Struthio camelus: one gene and its partners. The protein of the gene in region 1 interacts with the protein of each later gene in a biochemical or structural test. Links are inferred from orthologs where the notes say so. Each region holds a gene or a part of one and is shown on either strand. Other genes may lie near its edges.

What was found.
Region 2: the proteins of alpha-1-syntrophin-like (region 1) and sodium channel protein type 5 subunit alpha interact in a test that uses a peptide from one of them, tested with the Homo sapiens proteins (2 studies listed by BioGRID and IntAct). The link is inferred for Struthio camelus from reciprocal best matches to the Homo sapiens genes SNTA1 and SCN5A.
Region 3: the proteins of alpha-1-syntrophin-like (region 1) and GDA interact in a test that uses a peptide from one of them, tested with the Homo sapiens proteins (2 studies listed by BioGRID and IntAct). The link is inferred for Struthio camelus from reciprocal best matches to the Homo sapiens genes SNTA1 and GDA.
Region 4: the proteins of alpha-1-syntrophin-like (region 1) and ABCC4 form a complex in vitro, tested with the Homo sapiens proteins (2 studies listed by BioGRID and IntAct, with this or other methods). The link is inferred for Struthio camelus from reciprocal best matches to the Homo sapiens genes SNTA1 and ABCC4.

Annotation. Positions count from the first base shown.
Region 1 is NC_090959.1:4,022,417-4,029,693, reverse strand, and holds the start of alpha-1-syntrophin-like, read right to left. Parts: upstream 3,100-7,277; 5' UTR 3,068-3,099; coding exon 2,794-3,067; intron 1-2,793. UniProt on the Homo sapiens protein: Adapter protein that binds to and probably organizes the subcellular localization of a variety of membrane proteins. May link various receptors to the actin cytoskeleton and the extracellular matrix via the dystrophin glycoprotein complex.
Region 2 is NC_090943.1:7,057,546-7,064,733, forward strand, and holds the start of sodium channel protein type 5 subunit alpha, read left to right. Parts: upstream 1-4,160; 5' UTR 4,161-4,229; intron 4,230-7,188. UniProt on the Homo sapiens protein: Pore-forming subunit of Nav1.5, a voltage-gated sodium (Nav) channel that directly mediates the depolarizing phase of action potentials in excitable membranes.
Region 3 is NC_090982.1:26,799,442-26,806,857, forward strand, and holds the start of GDA (guanine deaminase), read left to right. Parts: upstream 1-4,277; 5' UTR 4,278-4,428; coding exon 4,429-4,551; intron 4,552-7,416. UniProt on the Homo sapiens protein: Catalyzes the hydrolytic deamination of guanine, producing xanthine and ammonia.
Region 4 is NC_090942.1:166,326,333-166,333,739, reverse strand, and holds the start of ABCC4 (ATP-binding cassette sub-family C member 4), read right to left. Parts: upstream 3,089-7,407; 5' UTR 2,982-3,088; coding exon 2,908-2,981; intron 1-2,907. UniProt on the Homo sapiens protein: ATP-dependent transporter of the ATP-binding cassette (ABC) family that actively extrudes physiological compounds and xenobiotics from cells.

The DNA of each region.
Region 1 (7,277 bases):
ACCCTTAGCCCCTAACCAGGGCAGCTCTACACATCCAGGTCTCAAGGAGCAAACAGACCTGCTCTTCAGCATTACCTCACCTGGGGGGCAGCAAAAATCAATGGGACCCACACTTGGCGCCAGCGCATAGCTGAGGGCTGGGGATGCTGCCCAGGGCAAGGAGCAGAGCAGAGCACCCTGCCCTCTCTGGCAGCCCGCTCGCATGGGGCTGCCCCAGGCAGGCTCCCTGGGTTGCACAGGGCCAGGACACGGAGCAGGGCCATGCCCAGGTCTCAGCAAGCTCATGACACAACCAATGTGTGCAGCCAGGCCAGGGAGCCTGCCGCCGCCCCGGCGTCCTCGGCCTAACCGCAGTCCCTGTGGCCTCCTAGGTGCAGTATCAGCCCCTGAGCTCCAGCCACGTCCCTAGAGCAGCCCACTGCAAAAAGCCTCCACTCACAGCGCAAAGCACAGCTGCTGTTTGCACCAGAAACCAAGGGGAGGCATTTCTTCAGTATTATGCAGACGTTGTCTCTTTGGCATAACAGCCTACTGCCTCGCACCCTCACCCAGGAAGAGGGAAACGGGAGCCAGGCCTGCGTCAGCCAGAGCAGGCTGAGTCAGCACCAACACCAACCCTAGGGCTGCACGCCGCTCTGCACAGCACCGGCCCCATCCCACCCTCGGGCCACCACCGAGAGCGATATAAGGCTGTTGAGGCTGGAAGGAGAGAAGCAAGAGGCAATTCTGTGGCCTCAGCCCTGGGGCACTCAGGCATTTTGCAGTAAAGAGTCCTCAGACAACACAAACTGCCCTGAGGGCTGGGACCAGGACTCCTGGGGCCAGCCTATCTGAGCACTCCTGCTCTGCAGAGCTGTAACACCTAAGCTGTTTTCACACTCTGCTCAGTACGCGCTTCTGTGGTAAACTCTGAGGTTAAACTACAAGAAATTTATTACTTTTTAATGGGAAAGTGTCACCACCCCAGTTAAGAAGGACCAATGCCTTCCCTCTGCAACAGCGGTGGTCACCTTCAGAGCTCTGTGACCAGCTGTAATGGTTTATAGCTCCCACTTTGGATTACTGCCACTTGTTTTTCACATATTTTTTCACTGCAAAAATAAAGTTTTAACTGAACCAAGTAACATTTCTCCTTTCCTAGGAGAGTCACAGAGGTAGCGATAACTTCGCAGCCAAAGGATTATCACAAAGGGGATTTTACACTTCCCAAAAGGAAGCACTGGCAATCTCAGGCATCCCATGGTGGCAGGCACAGCAAGCAGCATGAGAGAAGCAAGCTGGTGTTTCGATCCAATCCCAGCAGACGGACATCCACATCGCAAAGTCTCCCTACATTGGGCACTTGTACAGCTGAAGCGGAAGCAGGAGGTTGAGGCTAAATTCTCTCTGGCCACCAGAGGCGAAGCCACGTCAGAAGGTAAGATTCATACCACCACTGCCTATGGACCACCATGCATGCAAACTGGCCTGCTGTTACATTAAATTACAAACTCTTACCCATGCACAGGGATGGACCTTTGCCCGTGGTTGACTATTTAATCCTTCTTTCACTGAATTTCTAACAAGCTCAGAGCTGCATGAAAAATAAACACAAAAAGAAATGCAATCCCTGCCCTATGAAGTTTTCAGCCTAAAGTTCAGGCAAATCACCAAGGAGCACAGAAACTTGGGAGGGGAGCACCAGAAAGGAAAACAAGAATTACAACAACAAGGCTTCCCTGCTGCTCAGCCCTCCGAGACCGGACATCTTCAAGCTTGAGAGTGTTGTTTTAATGCCCCAGCTCTTAAGAAGTACTCTGTGTCTGCAGATCCCCAAGGACCTTACAAAGGTTGCAATCATTTTCTTCATTCTGCCGACAGTTTAAAAGGGACATTTGTCAGCCCAACAGACATAGGGTCACTGAGGAAACCAAGACAAACATGCAGAGACCTCTGTTTGATGCAAAGAGGCAGCTTTTCTGTAACATGGGTACCCTATGCGTCCCATCTGCTTCTTCAGACATCTTCCCTACCAGGAAAGTGCCAGCGTGTGCAAAGTCGCAGTGGGAGAAGAAGCTCTGCCAGTCCTGGCTTACCAACAAAGGGCTGTGAGCACCACCCTCCAGTGTCCCAAGCACAGGAGAGCAGAGCCCTGCTCCTGGCTGGGGGCTCCTGAGAAGCTGGTCTGTCACCCGGCCTCCCTCCGGCACTCTGTGCACTGAGCTCTCCAGGAGCCGTCTGCCTTTAAAACCCAGCTCTTAGAGCATGCAGCAAACATCCTTCAGGCCCTTCGTACTCCAGCTGTCACACCTCCCACCTTGCCCTTGCTCATCTCCTTTTGGGGTAAGTTAAGAGACTGACTGAGGCGTGAGAACCCCAGTTCCTCCCCAGTGCAGAGAGATGAGCTCGGCTCCTGGATATAGTTTCCATTCAGTGGAAACGCGGAGTCGAGCTGCAGAATCCAGTCTTGAGAAGGGGACGGCAACAGGTCGCTTCCCTCGAAATCCCCGTCTCGCAGCCCTCGCTGAAAACGCTCCGCTCCCCCACGAGGTGCATCACCTCTGCTTCCGACTTGGAAGGTCAGACCCGCGGAGCAGCCGCGGCCCGGGGAGCACAGGCGTCCCAGGCTGCCAGGAAGCCGCGCGCCCGCGCCCGCAGCTGCCGCGGCCCCGCGCCGGGCGCCCCGCAGAGCCCGGGAGGGCGGCGCAGCCCCGCGGCGCTGCCGCGGCCCCGGGCTCCCGCGCCGCCGTCGGGGGCCGCAGCCAGGACCCGCCGCGCCGGGCGCTGCCCCGGCCCCCGGCCCCCGGCCCTCACCTTTGATGCTGATGCCGAGCCCCCCCACGTCCTGCTTGACGACGCGCACCGTGCGCCTGATGTTGGCCAGCGCCTCGGGCACGGCGGAGCTGGGCTCGCCGCCGTTGAGCTGCGCCGGCGGCGCCTCGCCGGGGCCGGGGCCGGGGCCGGGGCCGGCGGCGGGGCTCACGGTCAGCACGTCCTCGGCCAGGGTGAGCAGGACGCGCAGCCACTGCCCGCCGGGGCCGCGCAGCTCCAGCAGCCCGGTGCGCGGGGCGCGCCTGCCCGCCGCCATCTTCCGCGCATGCCGCGGACCGCCGCCGCTGCGCCGCCCCCGCCGGGCCGCACGGCTCCGCTCGGCGCGGCTCGGGGCACCGGGCACAGCGCCGCCCCGCCGGCCTGCCCCTGGGCCGCCCGCCCCGCCCTGCCCGCCCCGTCGGGCTCGGCTCGGCTCGGCGCAGCCCGGCCCCCCGGCCGCCTCCCCGGCACCGGGATCCGCCTCCTTCGGGCCACGGCGGCGCCCCGACCCGTCCCGTCGCGGAGGGTCAGTCCCGCGCTCCCGGTGCGCCCCTGGGGTGCTTCCCTGCCTGGCCCCGGACGTGCCCGGCGTCCCCCTTGTTGCACCCTGCCCCGAGGAGCCGCAGAGGGAGCCAGGCCCCCGCGCCGCCCTTGCCTGGCCCGGGATGTGCTGCGTGCCCCCATCCTGCTCTACGTCCCAGGAAACAAGGCAGGAGCCAGGCTCAGGGAGCTGCTGGCTCAGCCCTTCCTCGCCCGGGGAATCGCAGCCCCCAGTGACGGGTGCCCACGTGTGGCAGGATCCGGCCACCCGGCGAGGCCGAGGGTGCCTTGGAGGCTCCTGCTTCGTGCAGCAATTTGCACACCATGCGCAAGGTTTCTAAAACACTTTTGGCTTGTTCCCAGGTACCAAAAGACCTACTTTCAAGGAAGTTTGTATGCAAGGCGCAAAGCGCTCTTGAAAATCTGGCCCAAGCAGGGGTGGGCTCTCGGGGGCTGCTGAACCACCCGTTGGCTCTCTCGCTCTGTTGAACTTGAGCAGCAGATTTGGGACTGATGCTGGAAGCACTAGATGACACTTTTTGGCCTAGATAATGTGGCGTGTCAGACTAGATGATCACAACGCTGCTCTGCAGCCCTGAAGTCTGTGCATCCCTCAGCAGTGTGGTGGCGGAGCACAGCACGACTGCCGAGATGTCTCTGAGTAAAAGCTTGTGACACTCTGTTATCCTGAGTTATGTTTTGCCCGGCAGAAAAGTTTGCATGGGCAGATTCTTCTTCGTGTCATCAAAATTACAGTGCTGCGCAGGGCGGCGGGTAGGGGAAGGCGGCGGGCAGCAGATCAGAGCCGGGCGTGATTCTGGGGAGCAACATCCCCCAAAATGGGGCCTGCTCTTGAAGCCTTTCCCTGCATTGCTGCTCTGGGCCAGGGGAGCTGCCTGCATCCACCCTTGTGAGCGACGTGTTGCCCCATATCTCCTTTCTGTAACAAGAGCAACAAGGTGCTCTGGGGTTGGCACCTTCTGACAACCCCTACGCAGTGTCAAACAGGCAAGAGGTGGAGGCGAGAGGTGTTAGGACATCCAAAGAAGTCTCTGTTCCTTTTTCCTTGCTTGTCCTGGTCCTTGAAAATAGGAACGATACTTTGTTTCATTTTCTGTAACCTGGTGGCAGCAATTAGAAAACACCTATTGGTCCACGCCCCCCCCCCCCGCACTCCCTTCTCCTAATGCTTTGTGCAGCTCCAGATGTCTCCAAGCATTGGGGCTTCCTAGCTCCCTGAGCTCTCTTTGCTACAAAATACAGAGGCTTAAAATAATGTAATGGTCTTTTAAGGAGGTTGGAGAGGGTACAGAGGAAGTGGGTGTAGTGGGGGACTAAGGGGCGCTGCTCCTGGCCGCCAGCTGCGCGTGAGGCGGGAGAGGCTGCGGGCGCGTTGCTCAGCGCAGCCCTTGCCCTCTCGGTGCTGGGGCTGCGGCCCATCCTGTGGGTCAGCCACGAGCGTCGGGGAAAACCCGCTCCCTCCGCTCTGCTCCCCTCCTGTGCAGAAGTGGTGGAATTTCTCGAGGTTGCAGCAGAGGAAACCCTGAAGGTTATTTCCATAGAAAACAAACATTTCAAATATTCCAGTTTTCTTTCTCATAAAAGGTCCGGAGTTTGGCTTAAGTGACTTTTCGTTTTGCATAACAGCTCTGCTAGCTGTAAAGGTTCCCCTTTGCGTCAGGAGGTGCTTTTACGGGACCGTGTCACCCACCCAAAGGTATTTGCTTATGATCACGTCCTCTGTGTTGTACCGTTCGGCCACACAAGCCCCGCTCTGGCTGTCCATGTAGCACAATTTGTTTACAGCAGAGGGGAATTTTGTCCTTTTGTCCTCAAGGCTCTTTTTCCCTGTGCCATCAGTGCTCCAAGCACTCACTTTATTTGCCAGACAGTCAGCTGCAATCAGCAGTTTGTCTGATTTTTTTTTTTTTCCTTCCCAGCACTGCTCTTGTTATTTCCAGCATAGGTGATTGTTTAAGGCCATCGTTCCCATTTGAAGCGACGGAGGAAACTGTAAATACTGCTCTTAGTGTTGCATAATTGCAACATTGGGGTCGTTTTCTTTGCTTTCTCAGCTCTGTGTCTGCCTGGCAGCACGGATGCGACGCTTGAGCATGTCCTCCATGCAAGGAGACAATCTGGATCCTGTCAGTGCCACATGGAGGGAAAATCACTGTCCTTCTCCATCCCTGCTGCTAGGACGGATGAAGTCTGTGGCCAGGTGGGACTTCACCTACCACACAGCAACTGCCCCCCAACAGACACAGCCAGACTAACATGCAGGCACTTAGGCAGCCCCAGCCCCGTGCCACTCCTCTCCCAGCAGCAGTTTTGCCTGAATAAAAGGATCATTTACTTCCCCTTCAGTAATGACATTTTAATAAAGTCCTCTCAGTTACACAGGTTCCTGCCCTGCCCTCAGCTGCAGGAGCCTTGAGTTTGCAGAAACGTGTGCCATACCCTCCCCTATCAGGAAATCTTTCTCCAGCCTGAATGCAGAACAGCTTTGTCAGCACTGAGCACGTGCAGACGTCAGCGCCAGAGGAGAAGGACTCATGACACCCACAAATCGCCAGAGGAGAAGGACTCATGACACCCACAAATCGCCCACCGAGCGTCACGGTGGCTGCAGACAGGGGACCTGCTGGCCCAGCTGCACTCAGGGCTGGATCTTTCCTTCAGGAGACTCCTAAAGCCGTTGCTATTATGGTAGAAAGATGATCATACGGACACCTTCTGCTACACATGATCAGAGGACTCCCTCTCTCTTTTTTCAGCGATTTAGTATTCCTTTGGCAATTATATCAGGTACTTATTGATGGGACAGTGATCTAAGTATTTCAGATGCTGGTTTCTTCTAATGCAAATCAGGACCAAAAAGGGCCCTAAATGCATGTCCTGAGGGGCAGCTCAGAACTGGAGACCCAAAGGAGATAAAAACTGCCACTCCTAAAGCTGTTTGTAGATCCTACACGATTTGTGGCAGAAGCTTGGATCCGGAGCTCCCTTTGCTTTTGCTTTTTGCAAAAAAGGACTTGGGATTTTTTCATATGACCACAAGCAGTCAGTACTATATATAGCCTGGGTTCACCTGCCCTAGAAGTGGGCAGATGTGCAGACACGGTGCCGCAGGAGGAAAACGTGACAGATTGGTGAGCGCGAGGAGGAGGGTCCTCCCTTCCCTTCTGCCCAGCTATTGCTGCGTGGCCGGGCTTTCTGCAAGGATTCAACGTTTTTACACTGTGTCTCCCCGACCAGGGGCCCCCTGTTCTTCAAGGGGCCTGAGGAAATGATATGGGAGGACCCATCATGGGGGTCCTAACTCTGGAGGCCCAGCTTGGGCATTGGGTAGGTCAGCAGGCTATCAAGAGGGATCAGCAGGTAGATGGACACAGCGTTCGGGGTCTAGGCTTTGATCTCCGAAGACTCAAATCGTTTGGTGTCTCCTCAGCGTGGCTGGGGTCAGGTGAGTGGTGCTGCAGTACAGGGAAGACGGACATGCCGGGATGCTCTGCGGGGTGTTCACACTTTTGGGACTACCTTCCTGCACGCCCGCTCCCCCAGGCATGCTCTGAAGCCCATCCTTTCTCACGCAGGAGACTCCCACATTTTTAGGGACCCCCTTTGTGTCCCAGGCCTGTGGTGAGCTATGGGAGATGCACCCAGTGCCCTGAAGGGTCCCAGGCTGCACCTTTTTTTTGATATACTGTGAGGCATTGAGAGAATTAGCCGCAATGTCCTGCTGCAAGAAGGACCAACGGCCACGAGTTTGATTGACTAATGCCTTGGCTCTGGGCCAGGGGCCGGGGGGGCCAAATCTGGGCTGCCTGGCACACAGGAGTGAGTCGCATGCTTCCAGGCAGGTCAGCATCGGCTGCAGGCTGGATGCAAAGATGCTGCTCTGCTGGCACGGCTGCATGTGTGTTTCACCTTTCAGCCAGCACTCG
Region 2 (7,188 bases), on another chromosome or scaffold:
TTTATTATAACTCCAGACTCTCATTCCCAAGTAGTAATAGCTACTTCAGAGCCCTTCACTGTGCAAGTAAAGCTGTGCCCATTTTTTCCTTTTAGACACTATTTTATCCTGCTCAGTCAGTATTGTGAGGTCTTTTTACAGTTCTTCACGAGTTTATTTTCATTTTACCACCCCGAATACTTCAACAGTGACAGCAAACTCTGTCACCCCGTTCTCCACCTCCTGTCATGAGCGCTGAAGAAGGCAAGGTGTGGCATGGTTTTGCCGGGACTCTGCTGCTGACCTCCCCCCACCGTGAACATCGACACTGAATTCCTGCCTTTTACCCTCAGTCTTGTAAGCAGTAGTTTTTCCCCGCATGGAGAACCTTAGCAATTTCCCCATGCCAGCTCAGTTTCTGTAAAAGCCACTTCTTCTGTTCATTGGGAACTTTAAATCAAAGCCTAAACTTTACAATTTCAATAACTTGAGAAAAATGCAGCCGAACAAAACCCAGCCTCGCATCTGCTCCTTGAGTCCCGAGGCGCCCTGCCAAGGAGCTGGAGTCGCCGGGCTGCTCCCGCGGCATGGCGGGGAGCAGCAGGTCCGCATGGTGCCTGCCCCTGACCCCTGTCCCCCTCTCCCCTGCGAGGCTGCTCCCTTCCTGCCCTGGCTCCCCTAGTGCCTCTCCTCCCTGCTCTGTCCCTCTGGCCCCGTCCGCTCCCTCTGACCCCAAACCCGGGTGGTTCTCCTCGCTGCCTAGTCCAGCCCCTGCAGGCTGCCCACAGCTCCAGCCCTCCTTCTTCCCCAGCCCTCCTTCCTCCCCTCCCTCTTTCCTCCCCCATCCTTCCCCTGACTCTATCCCTCCATCCACCCGTCCCTCTTTCCTTCCTATCCTTCCTCCTTCCCTGTCCTCTACATCCCTCCTTCCTTCTTCCCAGTCCTTCCCCATCTTCCCCCATGCCTCTTTCCTTCCCACGCCTCTTCCACCCCATTCTTCCCCATCCTCCCTTCCTCCTCCTTTCCCACCCCTCTTTCCTCCCCATCCTTCCTCCCCATCCCTCCTTCCTCCCCATCCTTCTTCCCTATCCTTCCCCATCGCTCCTTTCTCCCCATCCTTCCTGCCTTTTCTTCCTCCCCATCCTTCCCCTATCCTTCCTTCCTCCTCACCTTTTCCCCATTCCTCCTTTCTCCCCATCCTTCTTCCCCATCCTTCCTCCCCATCCTTTCCTCATCTCTCCTTCTTCCCCATCCTTCTTCCCCATCCTTCCCCCATCCCTCCTTCCTCCCCATCCTTTCCTCATCTCTCCTTCTTCCCCATCCCACCCTCCCCCTCATCCTTCCCCCATCCCTCCTTCCCCATCCCTCCTTCCTCCCCATCCTTCCCCATCTCTCCTTCCTCTGCATCCTTCCCCCATCCCTCCTTCCTCCCCATCCTTCTCCCTTTCCTTCCTCCCCATCTCGCTTTCCTTCCCCATCCTTCCTCCTCATTCCTCCTTCCTCCCCATCCTGCTCCCTTTCCTTCCTCCCCATCCCACCTTCCTTCCCCATCCTACCTTCCCCCATCCCTCCTTCCTCCCCATCCTTCCCCATCTCTCCTTCCTCCATATCCTTCCCCCATCCCTCCTTCCTCCCCATCCTTCTCTCTTTCCTTCCTCCAATCTCACCTTCCTTCCCCATCCTTCCTCCCCATCCTTCTCCCTTTCCTTCCTCCCAATCTCACCTTCCTTCCCCATCCTTCCTCCCCATCCTTCCTTCCTCCCCATCCTTCTCCCTTTCCTTCCTCCCTGTCCCTCCTTCCTCCCCATCCTTCTCCCTTTCCTTCCTCTCTATCCCTCCTTCCTCCCCATCCTTCCTTTCTCCCCATCCTTCTCCCTTTCCTTCCTTCCCATCCCACCTTCCTTCCCCATCCTTCCTCCCCATTCCTCCTTCCTCCCCATCATTCCTCCCCATCCTGCCTTCCTCTGCATCCTTCCCCCATCTCTCCTTCCTCCGCATCCTTCCCCCATCTCTCCTTCCTCCCCATCCTTCCCCCATTCCTCCTTCCTCCCTATCCTTCTCCCTTTCCTTCCTTCCCATCCCATCTTCCTTCCCATCCTTCCCCCATCCCTCCTTCCTCCCCATCCTTCTCCCTTTCCTTCCTTCCCATCCCACCTTCCTTCCCATCCTTCCCCCATCCCTCCTTCCTCCCCATCCTTCCCCCATCCCTCCTTCCTCCCCATCCTTCTCCCTTTCCTTCCTTCCCATCCCATCTTCCTTCCCATCCTTCCCCCATCCCTCCTTCCTTCCCATCCTTCTCCCTTTCCTTCCTTCCCATCCCTCCTTCCTCCCCATCCTTCCCCCATCCCTCCTTCCTCCCCATCCTTCTCCCTTTCCTTCCTTCCCATCCCTCCTTCCTCCCCATCCTTCCCCCATCCCTCCTTCCTCCCCATCCTTCTCCCTTTCCTTCCTTCCCATCCCTCCTTCCTCCCCATCCTTCCCCCATCCCTCCTTCCTTCCCATCCTTCCCCCATCCCTCCTTCCTTCCCATCCTTCTCCCTTTCCTTCCTTCCCATCCCTCCTTCCTTCCCATCCTTCCCCCATCCCTCCTTCCTTCCCATCCTTCTCCCTTTCCTTCCTTCCCATCCCATCTTCCTTCCCATCCTTCCCCCATCCCTCCTTCCTCCCCATCCTTCTCCCTTTCCTTCCTTCCCATCCCTCCTTCCTCCCCATCCTTCCCCCATCCCTCCTTCCTTCCCATCCTTCCCCCATCCCTCCTTCCTTCCCATCCTTCTCCCTTTCCTTCCTTCCCATCCCTCCTTCCTCCCCATCCTTCCCCCATCCCTCCTTCCTCCCCATCCTTCTCCCTTTCCTTCCTTCCCATCCCTCCTTCCTCCCCATCCTTCCCCCATCCCTCCTTCCTCCCCATCCTTCTCCCTTTCCTTCCTTCCCATCCCATCTTCCTTCCCATCCTTCCCCCATCCCTCCTTCCTTCCCATCCTTCCCCCATCCCTCCTTCCTTCCCATCCTTCTCCCTTTCCTTCCTTCCCATCCCTCCTTCCTTCCCATCCTTCCCCCATCCCTCCTTCCTTCCCATCCTTCTCCCTTTCCTTCCTTCCCATCCCATCTTCCTTCCCATCCTTCCCCCATCCCTCCTTCCTCCCCATCCTTCTCCCTTTCCTTCCTTCCCATCCCTCCTTCCTCCCCATCCTTCCCCCATCCCTCCTTCCTCCCCATCCTTCTCCCTTTCCTTCCTTCCCATCCCTCCTTCCTCCCCATCCTTCCCCCATCCCTCCTTCCTCCCCATCCTTCTCCCTTTCCTTCCTTCCCATCCCTCCTTCCTCCCCATCCTTCCCCCATCCCTCCTTCCTCCCCATCCTTCTCCCTTTCCTTCCTTCCCATCCCTCCTTCCTCCCCATCCTTCCCCCATCCCTCCTTCCTTCCCATCCTTCTCCCTTTCCTTCCTTCCCATCCCTCCTTCCTCCCCATCCTTCCCCCATCCCTCCTTCCTCCCCATCCTTCTCCCTTTCCTTCCTTCCCATCCCTCCTTCCTCCCCATCCTTCCCCCATCCCTCCTTCCTCCCCATCCTTCTCCCTTTCCTTCCTTCCCATCCCTCCTTCCTCCCCATCCTTCCCCCATCCCTCCTTCCTTCCCATCCTTCTCCCTTTCCTTCCTTCCCATCCCTCCTTCCTCCCCATCCTTCCCCCATCCCTCCTTCCTCCCCATCCTTCTCCCTTTCCTTCCTTCCCATCCCTCCTTCCTCCCCATCCTTCCCCCATCCCAATTTCCTCCCCATCCTTCCCCCATCCCTCCTTCCTCCCCCTCCCTCCTTCCTCCCCGCTCCCCACCCCCTCTCCTCCCCCGGTTCCTCCCCCCGCTCCGCCGCCGCTGGCCGGCAGGGGGCGCCGCGGTGCCGATGCCGGTGCCGGTGCCGGCGGCTGGGCGGGCCGGGCCGGGCCGGGGCGGTGCCGGCGGCGGGGCGGGGCGGGCGGCGGCACCGCCCCGCGCTCCCCCCCCGCCCCGCTCTCCCCCCGCCTGCGCGGGGCTGCGCGGGGCGGCACCGAGCACACGGCGGCGGCACCGCCGAGCCGGGCAGCCTGGGAGCGGCGGCGGCCGGCGGGGAGGGCAGCGGCGCGCCGCCGCGGCGCGGAGCGCACCGAGCACCATGGCCCTGGCCGCGGGGAGTGCTCACGCGGGGACTAAAACTCTGTGGATACAATGAAGTGAATCTGGGACTCTTGGTTTAGCGGGGAAAATTAAATAAACCAATGTAAGTTCCTCTTTTTTGCTTGTTCGCTAATAAAAAGGACGCCACGAAGAAGTCCGGTTCGAAGCGTGCCTGAGGAGGAGGAATTTCCCCTTGCCCTGCTTGGAGACCCAAACTTTCCCCGCTAGCCGGGAGAGCCGGTAGCGCCGCGTCCCGCTCCCCTTCCCCCGCGCCCCTCGCCGGGTGCCGCTTCGGGCCGTCCCGCGTGGGGAGGGTGGCGGGGAGGCTGGCGCGGCAGGTGCGAGAAGCGGCCGGCGGAGCGGCCAGGCTCGCCCCCCGGGGTGCTAAGGCTGAGGTTTGGCTGCTGAGGGGTAACTCTTGCTGCGAGTCGAGCTGGTTTCCCTCGGGCTTCTGCATCTGAAACTGCCGCTGATAATAATAATTAATAATAATAATGATAGTAATAATAATAACAATAGCAACAACACGGAGGATACTCAGCAAATAGTTTGGTGAATGTAATGTGGTAGCAGATGTGTTTGAACGGAAATTTAGTAGCACATTGGGAAGGGAAGAAATTAATTCGGGGGGGTATTTCCATGGTGGCAAGGAAAATTTATCATTCTTCTATAAGACTATTACTGATATTATTTGTTGTAAGAACTGACATAATATATTATGTGTATATGTCGCTCACTTCAAAGGGCTGCCCCTTGGAGGCCCTGCTTTAAATATATGGATTTTTTAACCAGCCCAAATCAAAAACTCTACTTGACTTGTACAAATAAAAGAAAAGCACAGAGAGCTGTGCTGCGCTCTGGCAAGGTGATCATGATTTTATCAAGACAGCCTAGAGGGGAACAGGGACATACTCGGAGCACCGTACGAGATAACGAAATCTGAATTAAAACAAAACTTACGCAACCAGACTGTGACTGCAATGGGAATATTTTTTTTTTTCCCCCTGGGAGATTGGGATGAGGAGGAGGAGGAGGAGATGAGCTTCTAAAAAGCAGAGGTGCACACAGGCGACACACGCACAGCAACAGGTCTCATTTTGCCTGGAAAGGAGGAGTTGAGGTTAGCGGGTGCTTCAGCTGAGCCTTTCCAGCTGTGCCCGGGGCAGGTGCTGACCCCGGAGACGGGTGCCGGGAGCGAACCTGGTGGCCCCCATGTCCCCCACCTCCCGGGGGACCAACAACTCTTCCTGAAAGACCGGTCATAAACACTGCGATTCAAAGAGGATTTGTCAATACTAAAAATAAACAGGCCCGCAGATGTGTCCTGTAGGGTCATGTGCGGTTTCAACACTTTCAGGGCTGCTCTGCTGATTTCCCCATTTTGCGTGTGTGTGTGCCTGTGTCCTGTCCAAGGTGCTGAAGTGCATTTTGCTGTCATTTCCGAGGATTTAAGGGTTTTGCACAGGTGATTGCTGCAGGCTTCCTCTCGTGTTAAAGCGGTGCAGTTTGAGTTGGAGGGTACCTCCTGGGTGGTGCCAAGAGGAAGCAGGGATGTGTTTTCAGACACGTATATTTGATCCGTCCTTTTGGCGTGGGAAAGCAGGCCAGGTGGAGTCGCAGATGGATCCGGCAGATCCTATAAGCTTTTGGTGGCAGAGAATTGAAAAGGTCAGAGCTGCAGGGCAGTGGGGAGTGGATCTCCCTTTGTGCTAATGGGCCAAAAACGTGGTGCATTTGAGGATGTTGCTGCTGTTGGTTTGAGTATGTTGCCTTCAGTGAGACATTAGCTGGTTCCAAAAAAACAGAGGGAAGCTCCATGTCGGGGACGGGATGGGATGAGAATGATACAAATGGGATGGGAGTGATGATTTTGGAAATACTCTTTTCTGGTGTAAGCCTTTTCATATGGTTACCAAAGTTGAACGGGACCTTTAGAAACAGAGGCTACTTAAGAAAAGAGTCTATTTTGGGGGGTAAGTGTCTGAACAAGTGAACAATATAAATGGAAGCCCGTGGTGCAAGTTGTGATATTTTTAGATTTATGCCAAAATATCTGAGTAGTATGTAATTCTTTGTATGAAACGGATCACAGTGTTGCCAGAAATAATCACAGAAGAATATGATACTTAACTTGTACATGATTGGAGATCGGTGTTGTGACATGTGGTTTTTCTCAGTTCTTGATATTAATCTGAAGCTATCCATAATACAGTTTGTACTTCTGTCTGAGACTCTCAAGGGGCTCTGCAACCACAAAGGGTCAAATTCTGATACCCATGTTCGCATGGAGAAGTAGTTTACACTGCAAGGAGTGCTGCAGATTTAAAGCATGCCAAAACTCTGTACAGTATGATAGAGAACTGATATTGTTTCATACCCTCATTTCAGAGGAGGTTAAATCATTTGTCAGAGATCGCAGAGGAATTCAGTTACATCATTGGGTATGTAACCCAAATACTTTGACCATGAAGGGTGTATGTAGACCATGAGGCTTCCTCACTCTGAATGACAGCTTATGGGTACAGTGTTTAAAAGTGTTTCACTGTTGAAAGCGCTGTTTTCCTGACATGTATCATCAGAGATGTCCCTGTGCTCGCTGTGATAGAAAAACACCTGCAGGACCAGCTAACACCTCCCAGGACTTCTGCAGGCCGCAGAAAACCGTGGAGTAGTTGCTGGGTCACAAAAAACTGTGGAGTAGTTGCTATGTTCTTGCTTCAACTGTATGCTCAAAATTATATCTAAAAATGTATTGCTAGGGAATGGAGTCCTGAATGAAACAGGAGATTTAGGAAACATAGCTATTTAAAAAAAAAATCCTGTATATGACATTAGAAGAGGATTGATACCTTATTTTCTTTTCCTTTTCATGAGCATTTTCTCTCTAGTATCTTGAAGGAATGTTCTGCACATGTATGTGAGGAAAGATCATGTGAGGTCGCATGATAAGGCATGTTGGGCTAGTGTTTGGAAATCCTGGTTATGCTTTTCTGAAGGGACAGGTTATCATCTGGTATCACCTTAGATGCCTTCGTATTTGGAAGCTCAGTTTGAAAGATATG
Region 3 (7,416 bases), on another chromosome or scaffold:
TAAACCATGCTGCCCTTTATTTCATTCTCTGAACAGCCCCAAGTATTTCCTACCTACTTAGTGCTTTCATTTTCAGATAAAAATCAATCAATAAAAGAGAAATCAATTTTATTTTGTTTCTCCATTGGCTTAGTTGCTATGTTACAAAATATTCACAAGGAATACTTTGGTAATCAAATGCAAATAACAACATTAACTTCTATATCAGATCAATAATTTTTGTACCCTGAGGCTCAGGCTCTGCTGGCATGTATTTTATCAGTGTCCTGAAGATAGGAGCTTCCACTGGGTGGCATGTACCTATTAATTGTTTTTTGAAAGCAGGGAATTAAAAATAGGTTCCTCTTTCTTACATTTCTCACGTATTACTAGATGAACAGAGTTGCTCCAAAACTTTGAAAACAAGGCATTGAATTCTTGTTTTGTAAAGTCCACCAAATGAAAGAAAATATCAAAAAGTGGAACAGTTAATGAGAATTTAGGGTGACATTCTAATCCTGCTAAAATCTATTCTGATGCTCTAAAAATACTTTGACTAAATTTTCTATTGTTGCTCAGCTTCAGAACTCAGACTAGACCTGATTTTCACTTAACTTCTAAAACTGAGTCAAAAGACAACGAAATAGACTTTTTTTTTTGAACAGCAGTGGGTCAAAGTATGGTGATTATTTACTTTAATATGAACATGTTAATCCAGGTGCGATGAGTTCAAAGAGCTGCTAAAGCTGGGATTTGTTTTAAATTGCTAGTCAAACAAAACCTTCTTAAGGAATTTGTAAGAAGCTATATCTTTCACTGTAGACCATTAACCATTTAGCAAAATTAAGAGCAGGCTATTACAATTACTTTTTAAGTTAAATAGTAACCAACAATCATCATAAACCATTCAATTTCTACCCCAGACAAACCAAGCACACCTTTGAGCAGTCCTCTTATAGTATCATGGAAGATTGACCCATTTTATCACAGCTGGTTGAGGTCTCATCTGCAGCCATCCCAATATTTTGGGTATGCAGCTGTGAGCTTCACAAGCTAATAACGAAAAAAGGTCTGCGAGGAGGGAAAGGGTTTTAACTGTTCTTTCATCAGCCCTCTTAAGAGTCTCACATGCTCTCTCACAGCTGGGAAAAGCAGAAGAGAAGTCTAGTTCTTTTAACAGTTCAATTATATGTCTTCATAGTGTTTGGAATCCACTTATAGCAATAGATTGACAATTAACAGTTTTTATTATTCATATTTCTTCCAAAAAGTTCTAAAGGAAGAAACTTTCACTGTTTCTGGATTTTTTTCTCATGCATAAAATACTGGTTGGATTAAATCTCACTGAAACTGTTGGAATAAGTATCAATCTTTCTGTAAGGCAGTTGAAAGAAATCCCTGAGATTCCTAATGGAAGAACATGGTTGACATAGAAATTCTCAGAGGCAGCACGCATCCCCCCACCACCTCCAAATGCAAATCAAGGGCTTCTCAGGAATAACGATTTAGCAAAAGTGTACGAGTTCTGCTGAATATTGCTTTGGCCAGCAGGCCACGTGGACCTGGGCAGCAGCCAGGACAAGACCTCAGGATGAGAAGCAAAGAGCCACACGTAGCCTGATGTGAGTGTGAATGAAGCGCAGATACCTAGGGCAGCATACTGCGGAAGACTGCATACCCTGGGGCCTCGCTACCTCCTTTGCCCTGGGAGCTGAGGCTAGTTGCTGCTGCAAGGGCAGAGCCAAGCTGTGTAAAGGGCAGGAGCTATTGCTGGGGAAAGTTGTCCTCGCTCCTGTGTCGGGAGGAAGAGTGATAAGTTTACCTCTCCAGGGCTCTCTGTTTGACTGTTTTGCAGCTCCACTCCCTCTACCTTTTTGCATTTAATGGCTAAAGCAGCCTAGCTCTCGCTTCTTATTCTTAAGGCAGCCAAATACCATTTCAGCTGCCTGGGATCACAACTTGGTATATGGATAAAAAGTGGTTTCAGCTGCTGCTTTGATAAACACAGTAGTGTTACTCTGAGAAATGTCCTTATAAGAAAGCTTTCGTAAATGCTAACTTAAAAGACACTTGGTGCTATTTTTTAGGAAACTATCCAGTGTTGTTGTATTACTCTGTTGTTCAAAGAAGCATGAAGTATTACAATCTTGTAAGCAAGCTGAATTGCAAGAAAGACCCTCATGCAATTTCTTCTCCGAACTAGATTAACCTGTAAGACCAATTTGTGTTTTATTGGCTTCTCATGTCAAAGAGATTAGAAATACAGTGAAAAATTGCAGCTTCTTAAAAAAAAAAAAAACTTATTAGCATCTTCTTGAACTATGAGACCTCTCACAGGAAATGAACAATCTTAGAGTGTGAGAGTCACTTTCACCTATCCATTTTATTCTGGATATTGTTTATGGCCTGACGGAACCACTAGTGAAGTCAAGGTAAGAGCTTTCAGCTGGCTTCAGTAAATCCACTTTTTTTTTTTTTTTAATTTACTTCACGTGAACCTAGAAGTATTCTCATTCAAAGATGGCACAACAAAGGTAGATGAGGTGCACTGAGCAGACTAAAATTACCTTTGTTCTGTGCTTTCCCACTGTGTCTTTGTCTCCTCCCTCCACTTATCTGGAAAGCTTAGAGGAAAGATTATCTCCTGCTATGTTTGTATAGTGTCAGCACAGTGGGATGGGCAAAGGTCTTTTATGATAAACTATGTAATAATAAACTTGGTAATCCAGCTTTGAAAATGGCAGTACCAGAGCCTTGGATGGCAATTTTGTTTACCACTTTTCTATCTGATGAAGCAAGGTGACTTTCAGTGGCAGGACATTCATAGTGTTACCCCTGATTCTGGCTTTCTCACATTAAGAAAAGGGTTTTACTATGTCCCATGAACTCTTATCCAAATATTCTCCCTAGAAATCATCTTAGTGCATGTTCATATATTACGTAAATAACACCTAATTATAAATAATGTATATATATAATATACATTAACTTAAGTTGTTGGAGCAATTCTCTGAGTTAACAAATTTCATTCTTCTCTCCCTTTCGTTTTCCCAGGGCTTCTTTCTCCTTTGCTATAGACCCTCTCCGCTGAATGAAACAGTTGGCTGCTTTCTTCTGGTAGCTGAAGTGCTTCAGCTGGCATCGATTTTTTGCTCCTGTATCCTACTAATGTACAGCATAGGAGCAGAGGACCTAGGAGACAATCTGTGGTAAGAGAGAGATTAAGTACTGAGTACAGCAGAATGGATAGATGGGGCAGGAACTACCATCTACCTGAAACACACCTTTAATATTATAGTATTTTAAGATTAGCTCTATTCTGAAATTGTCCAATAATGTTCCAGGCGCAGGGCAACACCTGCAGTTGCAAGCCTAACCAAAGGAACCCTGTAAATGAAGCTTCTGAAGCTGGTTACAGCCTTTGGTTTGGTTGTAAAGATCAGTCACTGGATATACTAACTACTGTGAGTCATCTTATCGGGTCTGTCATCACTTCCTGGAAAAAGCCAGAGGCGCTCAGAAAGCACCGCTGATGCTGTTTCTGTAGCTGTCAGTCTTCCTAAGAACTCTCTCTTGTGAGCCTGCAGCTCCTTATTTTGTAAATGAAACACACTTATTAAAAACATCTGTTACAGGCTTGTACCTTTGTAAGAAGTCCACGGCAAGCTACCTTGCTCTGGGAAAACACACACAATCCACATTTCTGTGTATTGTGCCATGTTATTAATGTGATAACGTTATCTTTCCTGAGAAGAAAACATGCAAAAGTTCTGCTTTCAAGGGTACTGATTTCCCTTTGGAAGTTGGTTAGTTATTGCTACTTTGGCAACGCGTAGAACTAGACAGAAATGTTTTGTTTCAGTAAAATCACGTGCTTTACAAACAATAAAATTCAAGTCTCGCTTTGTTCCATTTTTGGTGTTTCCTGATGACTTCCAAGCCTGTTTCACTTCCCACTAGGCCAGAAGACATCGGGGCTGCTGGGGGGGCAAAGGGGAAAAACAAACAGGAGAACCAACCAGCCACGGTAAGGGGGAGACCAAACACCCGCGGGGGCTGCGCCAGGGCTCCGCGCCTCTCAGGGCGGCCGGCCTCATCCCGCATGTGCGTCAGCAACAGGAAGCACCGAGTTTGCCCCCTGTCCCCTGCCTGCTGGCGCTATTTGTCTGTTTTGGCAGCAGGACGGGGGTCGCCCGGCCGCCGGGGCAGAGGCCTCGGCGGGGCGGCCGCGGCTGCCGCCACCGCCTCCCCTCAGCGGGCACCCGCCCGGCGGGAGGAGCCGGCCGGCGGCGGGAACCACTCCCCGCGGGGCAAGAAGCTTTGCGGGGGGGAAGGGAAGGGGTGGGGAAATGTTGACAGGTCCAGGAAGCCGCTGTCGGTGCCGAGAGACATCGAGCGGCTGCAGCCCGCTGCGCGGCAGCTGGCAGCCTCCTCAGCGCCGGCGCCGCGATGGGCTCCTCGCAGCACCCGCCGCTGGCCCACGTCTTCAGGGGCACCTTCGTGCACTCGCGCCGCGCCGCGCCCATGGAGATCCTCCACGGCCACCTGCTGGGGGTGGACGAGAGCGGGAAAGTGAGCGGGGGCCGGCGGCGGCGGGGCCGAAAAGGGAGGGCGGGGGGAGCGGGGGCAGCGCCGCCGGCACGGCGGGGCGCCAGCCCGGGGCGGCGGCGGCGGTTTGGGGGGCGGTTGGCCGGGGCTGAGGCGCCCGGGCGAGACCGAAACGTTGGTGCCCGGCGCTCTGCCCAAAAGCGGGCACCCCGGCCGGGAAGCCCCCTTTCAGCCCGCAGCCCGCGTCCTCCGGCGGGTGGGAGGAAGGGGCCGTCCGGTTGGCGTTTGCTGCAGCCCTTGAACCGGGGCACTTCCTGGCTTAAAACACGCGGCGGCTGTAAGGGGTCTCTCGACGGGGCTTGGCGCTTGGTGGGAGTTGAGGGGTGATTGGGGCAGGGAGCCGAGAAGCTGTTCCTGAGGTGCTCTACCTTACTGTCAAAACACATTCTTCGGGCCGTAAGCCTGTCTTTCAGTTTTGCAGATTTTTTTGTTTTTCGTTCTCTGTAATAAATACCAAAGCAGTACAAAAGATTGTAAATAATTGCAGTGTGCCTTCTGTACTCGTATGCTGCCTCCGAAAGCTTCTTCTCCCCCCCCCCCCGCCTTTTTTTTTTCTCTTTATCACAAGAAAAAAAAAAAGCCATGGAGTAAGTCTGTAAAGAATCGTGAAGACCAAGGGTAACAATTTGGCTTGTTAGTGAGTGGTGTGAGCTAAGTTTAAAATGAGCATTGCATTGGTTCTGGTGGGGAAGCTACATCACGCTGGTAACAGTATCACGGTTTCGCAGGGCTCATTGTATAAAGGCAGGTGGCAATTCCCTGGAGACTCAATTTTATATGTGTATATATATATATATATAGAGAGAGAGAGAGAGAGAGCGCAAGTGCAAGCTACCGTCTCTACCCTATACGTAATCAAAATTTCTTTTTTTTCTTTTTGGTGGCTAAACAGCTATGTCAGGCTTCAGTAGCACTTGGAAGATGCATAAAGCACACTTTGAATTTTGGACCCGTTACAGTGTTTGCTTTCACCATCCACACAGGTCAGTGAGGGCCTGTTTCCAAGTGGCTCTTGACTCCGGTGGCACTTGAGGAGTCTGGTACAAAGCATTGCTAAGTCTATGGAAAGCTGTATTTTGATTTATGGGAGGCGAGTGAAACCTTACAAAGCTATATATTGGCTGATTTTTAACTAAAAAACAATGGAGCTGAATGAACAAAGGGTTTGGTTTCTGTAATTCAAGAGCAGGAGGCAGAAACTCACCCGACCCAGCTCTCTCATGGAATTTTCTGGAAAAGAATCACTGCTCTCTGCCCTTGGGAAATTAAGACCTCTACAAGATTTTCTTGGAAAACAGACGCGGTAGTAGGCTGCAGTCAGATGACTGGTGCTCTCAGTCAGCCACTCTCTCCCTTTCTCCCAGTGAACGAGGATTCACTGGATATTCTTTTCTGCATAAACTGGCACGTTCCCACAGAGTAGTTCAGAAAGTTATTTTCCAGAAAAACGTTTGGCCAAAAATAAAATCTCTACCAGAAGGGAGTAACAGGAAGCTTCTTCTGTTTTAATACAAATTCTTGTCATTTTACTGTTCCACCGCAATGAATTGTGGTACCATGTGGTCTATTACTTGTAGCTTTACCTCGTGCAGTACTTCCATTAGCATTACTGAAGAGTTAATGGCACAGGGACTTGATGGGTAGAAAATTGCTTATCTTTATTGTCCAAATATACACCAAAACTATTACTCCCAAAGAACTAAATTTAACTAGACAGGCATCGTTCTGGTGCCTCCTGTTGCTGACTCCATCACGGGGAAATATTGCGTGATTTTTTACGGGGTGAGCAGAGAGCTTTTGTGAACAGGCAGATGCTGTTCCCTAGTTATATGTCCTGGTCTCTCGTCAAAACGGTAGGAGCGTGTAATTAGCGCATGGTAACACTGCACAGTCCAGCATGGGCGTATGTGGCTGATGCAGGCCCCTGACCAAAGTGTTGGTCCTTTGTGCTTTGCCAGTAAGATGAAAAGGCAATTTTAGGAAAGGAAACCTTGTTGTCGGGTATGAGACCAAAGGTATCGGAAGTTAACAAAACCTCGGTTTTATTGAACAGTTGCAATGTGGTACTGTTCTTGAGGAATTGCTTTTAGAAAGAATAGTGTTCTTCAGAGTAAAGAAAATAGAGCCAACTGCAGAGTATGAGTTACCGTTGAAGCACTGGAATAATTAATAGAGTAAAATGTTAAGTAAATGGAACAAAAGCTGCTGCTCTTGAAGGCTGGGGAGGAGCAAGAGTTATGGACGTTAATATTGTTAAGTATTACCAAGCATAGGTGTTTGGCGTAAGCCCGGTAGGATCAGCCTGGTAGGCCCAGTGACACGTGTTGCGCTCAGTTGCAGTTATGGCTGTGCAGATGGAGGTAGCAAGGTACCAGCATCCATGCGATGTTCATTGCTTGCTCCTTTACAGTAGGTTTTTGGGCTGTTCATTTGGCAGGCATGTCTAAATCTGGACTCGTGTTCCAGTTTGGGAAATCAGAGAAGTGATGGACATCATGTCTTTAATAGCAAAATTCCTGAACTTGGTAGCTTCATTAAACGGTGGCAGCAACCCAGTGAGGCCAAAAATAGGACATCCATCATAGTCAGGGACAGAGGAGAGCTACATATTTTTGCTGGCAGCCAATAATTATGAGGTTAGAGAGGGGTGAGTAGGATGAGGGAGCACAGAGAAGGTTGAAGCATTCACTCGTGTTCATTTAGGGGCCTCATGGTCAGACACAACATAAATACAGGCGCTATTAAATCCAAAAAAGGCATCTTCCTTTGGCCTGTATCATTCACTTTCCACTCTTAAGGTAGCTAAGTTATTTGCAGGGTGATGATTGG
Region 4 (7,407 bases), on another chromosome or scaffold:
GGGAGAAGAATGTGTCTTCAGTCTACACACTCATTACCTCAGTTTTATAATTCAATGAAAACACGACTACTTTTCCCCTGTGAGTTTGATCCCATTTCTGCAACACATAGTAATTTCAGCTCTACTTCTACACCACTGGCAACAAAGGGGGGGGGGGGGGGGAGCCTCCTTACAACAGCAAGATTGGATTTTTGGAAAAAAAATAAATAGAAGGGGAAAAAAAAGGGAGGGGAGGGGGGACACCTGCCCAGCTGCCTGCAATGCTGCTAATAAGGACAGAAAGTAGGGCTAACAGCCAGCAGCTAGGGTTTGGGCAGCACAGCAGGCCTGCTGGAGCAACCACATGTCAGTGGTTGCCGCTACTCCCCGGACAGCCCTCCTCAAACACTGTTTTTCCAGTTCTCCAACTGAAAACATCTCTAAACATCCTGTGTGAAACAGCACTTCCAATGAAGCAGTGCCAAGAAATGCTTACACAGTTGTCAAAAGCTGTGTGCTTCGCAGAAGCAGTGAACGATTCCTAAAGCTAACTTTAAGGGTAGATTTATAGCTAGTGAGGTTCATTTTAATCCTTTCTCAGTTTTATGTAAAAAATTATTAACTTGCAGAAAGATGACATCTCCTAGATCCTCAATTTAAGCCACTGCAGACATCGCTTCAGCTGAATTTTTCACTGAAAAAATACTAAAGCTTTTTGACTAGCAAATAGCTAGAATATACTGGTATTTGATGATCACATGCAGCATAGGTAGAAGGGTGGCATAATGTTGCTGAAGCCCGTGAAAGCCTGGCAGATAGCATACAGAACTTTTTTTTTTTTTAAATTCAGTAAAACTTTTCACATGCTATTAAAAACTTACTTCAGAGCACAAGCCCTACAGTGGAGCCCTACTATCTGAAGACTAAGAAATGTAAGAAACTGTAAAGTAAAATGCTCCAGTCAATCTCTGAAATTTCAGGAGGCCTATCATCTCACAAACACAGGGCTCCTCTTCCTCTTGCCCCCTTGTAGAATAAGAACCTACAAATGTGTATGGGGTAAAAGGAACCTTTTAAGTGCTTTCCTAAAACTTGAGAAATTTTAAATGGCTTTTGTGGGTGCTGCTGAACAATCCACTGCAACACCCAGAGAGCAATAAGATGGATGATGTGAACAGTCAAAAAAAAAAAAAAAAGTCACGAACACTGCACACTTCCTTTTTCACCTCTAGCAGAACTGCTTTTGGCATAACTACTCGTGGCAGCACAAGACCCCTGCAAGAAAAGGTGAACAGAGCAAAAGCAGTGCTGCACTGCTAAATGGCCAACCCGTAGTTTATCCCATTCTGCCTGGATTTCCTAGCAAAGTTGTTCCTAACATGGGCACCCCAGCGCTAAAAAAAGAAATTACAAGTCAAACTGCTGAACACAGGCAGCTCAACAAAAGCATGCAACCTGTTTTTTGCACACAGTACCTCCGAGGACATTTCCTTGACCGAAAATGCGTTTAGCTAAAATCGGTCAGGGCCTTTAAAATCCCTCCGCCTTCTAGAAAGGATCCCTGCAACTGCTCACAGCTGCTTTTAGGATCGGAGACTTTGGTGTTGTGTTTAAGAGGCTTCCAAACACAGGGGCCTCACGCACCATGCCTTCTCTTCCTTCTCCACCAAGTACTCCGGCACATGCACCCGGAGTTCAGGCGAAGGTGAAGCAGGGTAAGTACGTGTAGGTACCTGTACCTCTGCACCTGTTCTCTTCCAAAGGGGTCCTGCTAAGATGGACAAGCTTGATACTCCCCCTTTGCACCTTGCATGTCTTCTTTCCTTACCGTATTTCAATGCAGTGAAACTACCAGACCATGATTCCTCCCTGCTTTGAGTAATTATGCGCATCTGCGCCAAAGCCAATGACAGTAACAGAACAAGCATTAACTGCGCTGCCACAGTAGTCATCTGGTCCAGCATAGAAGTTACTGGTTTCCGAGTATGCTTGCGTAAGCGCCCCGTTCCCCGCCTTTGCTCTGCGACACCTCAGGCCCCCAGAGAGTCAAAGCAGAAGACTGCCCTTACACTGGGAAATCCCTAAGCAGACTACGCAGTTCAGAGAGAAGAGAGGAGAAGAAAAAAAAAAAAAAAAAGACTCCGACAGGGAGATCAGCAAGCGCTCTCGAGATGAGCGGTACCTGCCGCCGACCCGTTATGCGAGCAGCGGCGCGGAGCCGCCGGCGGCAGCCGTGCCGGAGCCGCTGCCAGCACCGGGCACCCCGGCGCGGAGCAGGCTCCCTGCCCGCCGAGGGGATGCAACACGTGCTCGAGCCGAGCTGCAGGGGCACCCTCGGCCCGGGGAAGCGGTATCAGACCCGGGAGAGCGGCGGCGGGGAGGAGACGTGGGACCGCGCTGGCAGCCCCCGCCTGCTCCCAGCGGGGCTTCCCGGGGTGGTACCGGCGCGCCGGAGACGCGGCTCCCCGCAAGCGGCGGGTTAGCAAGCTTTGACCTCAGGAGACCTCGCCTCGGCGGCGCCGCTCCCGCCTCCGTCGCCGGGAGCCACCTGCGGGCGAGGGGCGCTCCGAGCCGGCGGCGCTGACACGTGTTAACCCGCCAGGCCTTCGCCGAGCCGCCTTTGCAGAGTCACTGCCGGGAGGCGCCGGCGCTTCCCCCCCCGGGGCGCCCGGACCCTCGCGGGAAGCCCGAAGCGGAGTTGGGGGGGGGGGGAAGGAGAAAGGAGGCGGCGGGCCCCCCGCGCCGGCACTCAGCATCCCCCCGCCGGCCCCAGAGCCCGGCGGGAAGCCAAGGGGCGGCGAGGCGGCAGCGCCAAAGTCCCGGCGCGGCGCCTTCCCCGCCGGCGGGCAGCCCCGAGGCCGCACCTCGCGGCGCTGCCGCCGCCCCCCCCCCCCCCGCCTCCGCTCTCGCCCTCGGCCGGGCGCTCACCAGAAGAAGAGCCGGGAGCAGAGGTTGGCATCCCGCAGCGGGTTGGGCTTCTCTTCACGGGGCACCGCTTCCATGCCGCCCGCCAACCCGCCCGGCGGCAGCGGCGGCGCAGCACCACGGCCGACTTCCCACCGCGGCAGCCACCGCCGCTTTGCCGCCGGCCGGCGCTGTTTCCGGGAGAGCCGACACCCCCCCACCTCGTCCCTCCCTCCCGCTCTCCCGCCGCAGGACGCCTCCTGCCGGCCCGGCTCCCCCGCGACGCCCGCCCCTGTGCGGAGACGGAGACGGCGGCGTGACGGGTAGTTCCGCAGGGCCGCGCTGAGGCGACTGCCGCCCTCCGAGACGGCCGGGGAGCCTCCCCGCGGCGCTGCCGAGGTCCCTCCGCGGGGGAAGCGGAGCCTCCCCTCTCCCTCCCGCGAGGCGCTGTCGCCCCTTGAAGGAGCCGCTGCCCCTCCCGCCGTTGAGCGGCCGTTGGGCGGCCGTTAGGTGCCTGGGCGCGGGCCGAGCCCTCGCGCCTGAGGGGAAGCGGCCGCCCCGGGCGGGTTTGGGGGGGAGGGGGGGTGCTCCGCTGTCCCCTCAGCGGTTGGTCGCCTGTGCGTGCCTGAAGCGAGTTCACTTTTTTTGCCCTCGTGGCCCTCGAATAAAAGGCTGTAAAGGCCGCGAGAGTTTGTTTTGTTTTGTTGTACTGAGCTAAGGACATCGCCCTGTTTGTCACGCTGTCGCAGGCTGCCGCCGAGTGATAGTACCGTCTCCAAGATCTCTTCGGCGGTGCTGTCTGTGAAATGCTGCCGCCGTGCCACGTTGTTGCGGGTTGAAAACGTTATTGTCCTCTCGGCGCGGACCGCACCAAGCAAGGCACCCGCAGGCCTGACTAGGTGGAGAAACAAGCCGCTAGTGAGGAGCAATTGCAGCCTCGTGGGACTGACCTGCCAGAAACACTCGTTTCCACCTCTCCTTCCTAAACATTGCAGCGACTTGTATTAAAACACACACACACACACACACACGGGGGATGTCCATATTCCGAATTACAAGAACAAGGGCACTGGGGCAGCATGAGAGCAGCCGGATGCTGGTCTGAGTCTGCAAACCGGTGCTATCTGCAGCTCCAGTGTAATGATGTTGAGGAAAGTTTGGTGGTACAAAAAGTACCCCCAGAAATAAACCAGAATACATACACACACACACACACACAGACACACACACAAAAAAAGTAGTTATTTAATTCCAAGAGAAGGTGCATCACAGAAATCCTTGAAGCCCTTCTCAGAAGTTGGGTGCGATCGTTGTCAGGGCGGACGATGGCCGTACTCCTCTCCGCTGTTGTCACTGGGGCTTGCCGCAAGGGATGGGCCTGCAAGCAGTGGAGGGGACTGCAAGAAATCTAAGATAATACAAAGGTGAGGCACGTGTCTGAGGATAACCAAAAAACTATTCAGCTCAGTGAAAAAATACCAGGCAGAGTAGGTGTCTGCCATGCCCTAATTTCTCTGCGGCCTCCCAGACCCCTTTTCCCTCCAGCTGAGCCAGCTGCAAGGCAAGTCTCCTGTTTATTCATCTTTCGCCCTAGGAGCAACCAACCCTATCTCTTCCTGCTAAAATGGCTTATCGGTGAAATAGTTCCAGTATCTGATTATCACTATAGGTACATAGAGTTGGCACACGGTGAAGAAAAAAGAGGGTGGTAAGGTCTGGGCTACACTGTGCCATCCAAGAAACAGATTCACTTCACGCTTGCAAGGATGTCATAATAACCATAACACAAGTAAATCAAGCGTAAGTTTGCTATCAGTTGATAGCGAGGGAGAGAGGTGAGAGAGTTGGCAACAAAAAGCGTTGGCTGAGCATACTACAGGATTTTGCAAGCGATAGGTAGTACACTTCTCAGCACCTGCCTATAGATCTGTCTGGATTAAAACAAAGAAATACACTTAGGGAACTGGTGCAGTGATTTGCAAGGGCAGGCTTTAACAAAAAAGTGCTTTGTGTATTCCAGAAGAATTAACTTAAGTCACCTCCCAAAACATCTGAAGACAAGGTCTGTCCGTCAACAAATTCTGGCAACCTGGGTTTAGATTTCTGAGAAGCAAATTTGTCTAAACAGATATGAATAAGAGAATAAAAGGCATGACAGCCCAATGCAAGTCCTAAAACTTCAATAAAGTTTGGGTCAAATAGTGGAGGAAAGGAAGATGTAAATCTTTAAACTGGCATCTATTCATGAATCTGAAACAAAATCAAGCCAGATTCTTGCAAGGAAAGATTATCAAAACATTTCTTTGTTTGGACAAGAAAGCAGAATATTAGTCATGAACAAGTAATTTTTTTTTAAGAACACAAGATCAGAAAGTAACTTTTTCCAAGATTATTGTAACGGTAGGAAAATGGCAAAGAACAAACCTCAAGAAGTAAATTTCGTCTTTCCCAGCATTATCGGTGACAATTATTGACAAAATATAATTTTATAATAAATACTGCTGTCAGATTCCCATGTCTGAAACAAAACTCTATAGGAAGGTTTGGAGAAGGGAAAACTAAAGATTTAGCAATGCCCAAAGAATTATAATAAAGTTCAAGAGGAAAAGAAAAGCCTGAAAGCCAAATTAATCAGTAACTCTGTCAAGTGTACAAGTAACCAATGGAAACTGATGCAGCAATAGAGAATTGTGAACCAGTTAGAAACAGTAACAGAGATGCTCTGGAAAAGCTGAGACTGCACATGGAGAGGAGAGAGGAGGGAAAATAGATAGCACAGAGTAAGGAAATTAATCATCTTTATTTTAGGGGAAACGAAAAGCAACTGCTGATTTTTTAGTTATCCGTTGAATATTTTCCTGTGGTAACAATATATTCACGGCATGGAAGACTAAATATGCAAACAACCTAATCGAAAGTTAATATTACATAAATCCGTAATAAAGATATCAGTCTAGCAAAGCCAAGTACTCAGATTAGTCAATGGCCAGATTAAGCGAGTGTCATTTGAATTAAGCCATTTATGCGTATACATTATGCTATGGTAATTGGACGATCACAAGGGATTCCATAAACATACAAACACAAGTTTCTGTATTTATTCAGTATTCAAAAAGGACATATTCATTAAACAAGCCTCTGTGCAAAGCATGGTTTTAAATCCTCTTCGCTGTACTCTCTCCTCGTTCTGAACACAGTCAGAATCACCAGTTTCTTCATATTCCTTTTCTGTGGCACTTACCACTCTAGTATGAGGCGTTCACACACATCTGCTTTTCACAAAACCCTTAAGAGATAATTGGGCAGCTTATCTGCCTTTCAAGTGGTAAAGAGAAGCGTGTGGATCTTAAGGCAAAATATAGCCACTGATTCTGAATATGCAATCAGAACCAAAGGCTTAATACTTCTGAGAATGTAGCACTGTAACCTTTCACAATCAGGCAAGCGCCCATTGATTTCGGCTGAGAGGCGAACAATTTCTGCAAGTCACACCCCAGCATCTCAAGTCAGGTACCTGGAAAACAAGGACACGTGCCTGAGTGTGTCTTAAAAGTTTGGATAAACGATTTAATGAGCACACTACATGATATCTCTGAGGCAGTACTAAGGGCAGAATCAGATTCAAAGCTGTTTGAAAGACTTCAGAGGCAGTAGTTTTCTGAAGACAAGCTGTCGTAGCAGACTGTGAAAGCTTTACCACAGTGCATTGTTTAACTTTTGATCGAAGCCAGGCAGAAAGACAATCCATATGCTGCGTGACAAACCAACTAGACAGCTCCGTTTCCTGCCATGCCATGGGCAAGAAAGCAGGCTGTCCGCTGGCTGGGAGCCCAGCTAGTCACTATCCAGTCTGTGGCCTGACTCATCGTCTCGCTGACGTACTCAGTGAAGAATAGTTTCTCATGCTCCTGCAATACGGATAGATAGGCCTGTTCTTGTTCAGCTGCAGAACAGAAATGTCAGTGGTGCAGAATCAAGCTGTAAGTAGTTTGCTGTTTCCATCTAGCTATTAGTATATAATAGCAGCATTTTTTCTCAGATACTTTCTCTTCTTGTTGCTCTGCTAGCCATCTCTATTCTCCCCGTATCTTTTAACTACCTGTATCAGTTTTCTACATGCCATAGTTTCTAGTTTACACTAAACGTAGGTGCCTACTGCCGCTGTAGATATGGTAGGATATTCCACTTGGCTGCTAGCCACCACTTCAGAAGGCTTCAGGTCTTCCATAGCTTCTGTGCTGTATCTGCCAGTCCCATGCCAATGTCTCAAGTGCCTTTTAAATGGCAATAGATATCTACGTTTAGGCAACTGAACCCCATCCTTACCATCATCACTTCTGAATCAATATGGGTTTTAGGCCAAAGTCCTCTCCATCTTTCACTGCAACATCAAGTCATTTTGGCCAATAAGATTTTTCCTAAAGAGCTCTTAATTTCCATTCACATTTTTCTGCCTACGTGTCACACCCACACATACATACACACAATATTTCTGTTAATTTTCATAGTTTAGTTCTTTTAAAT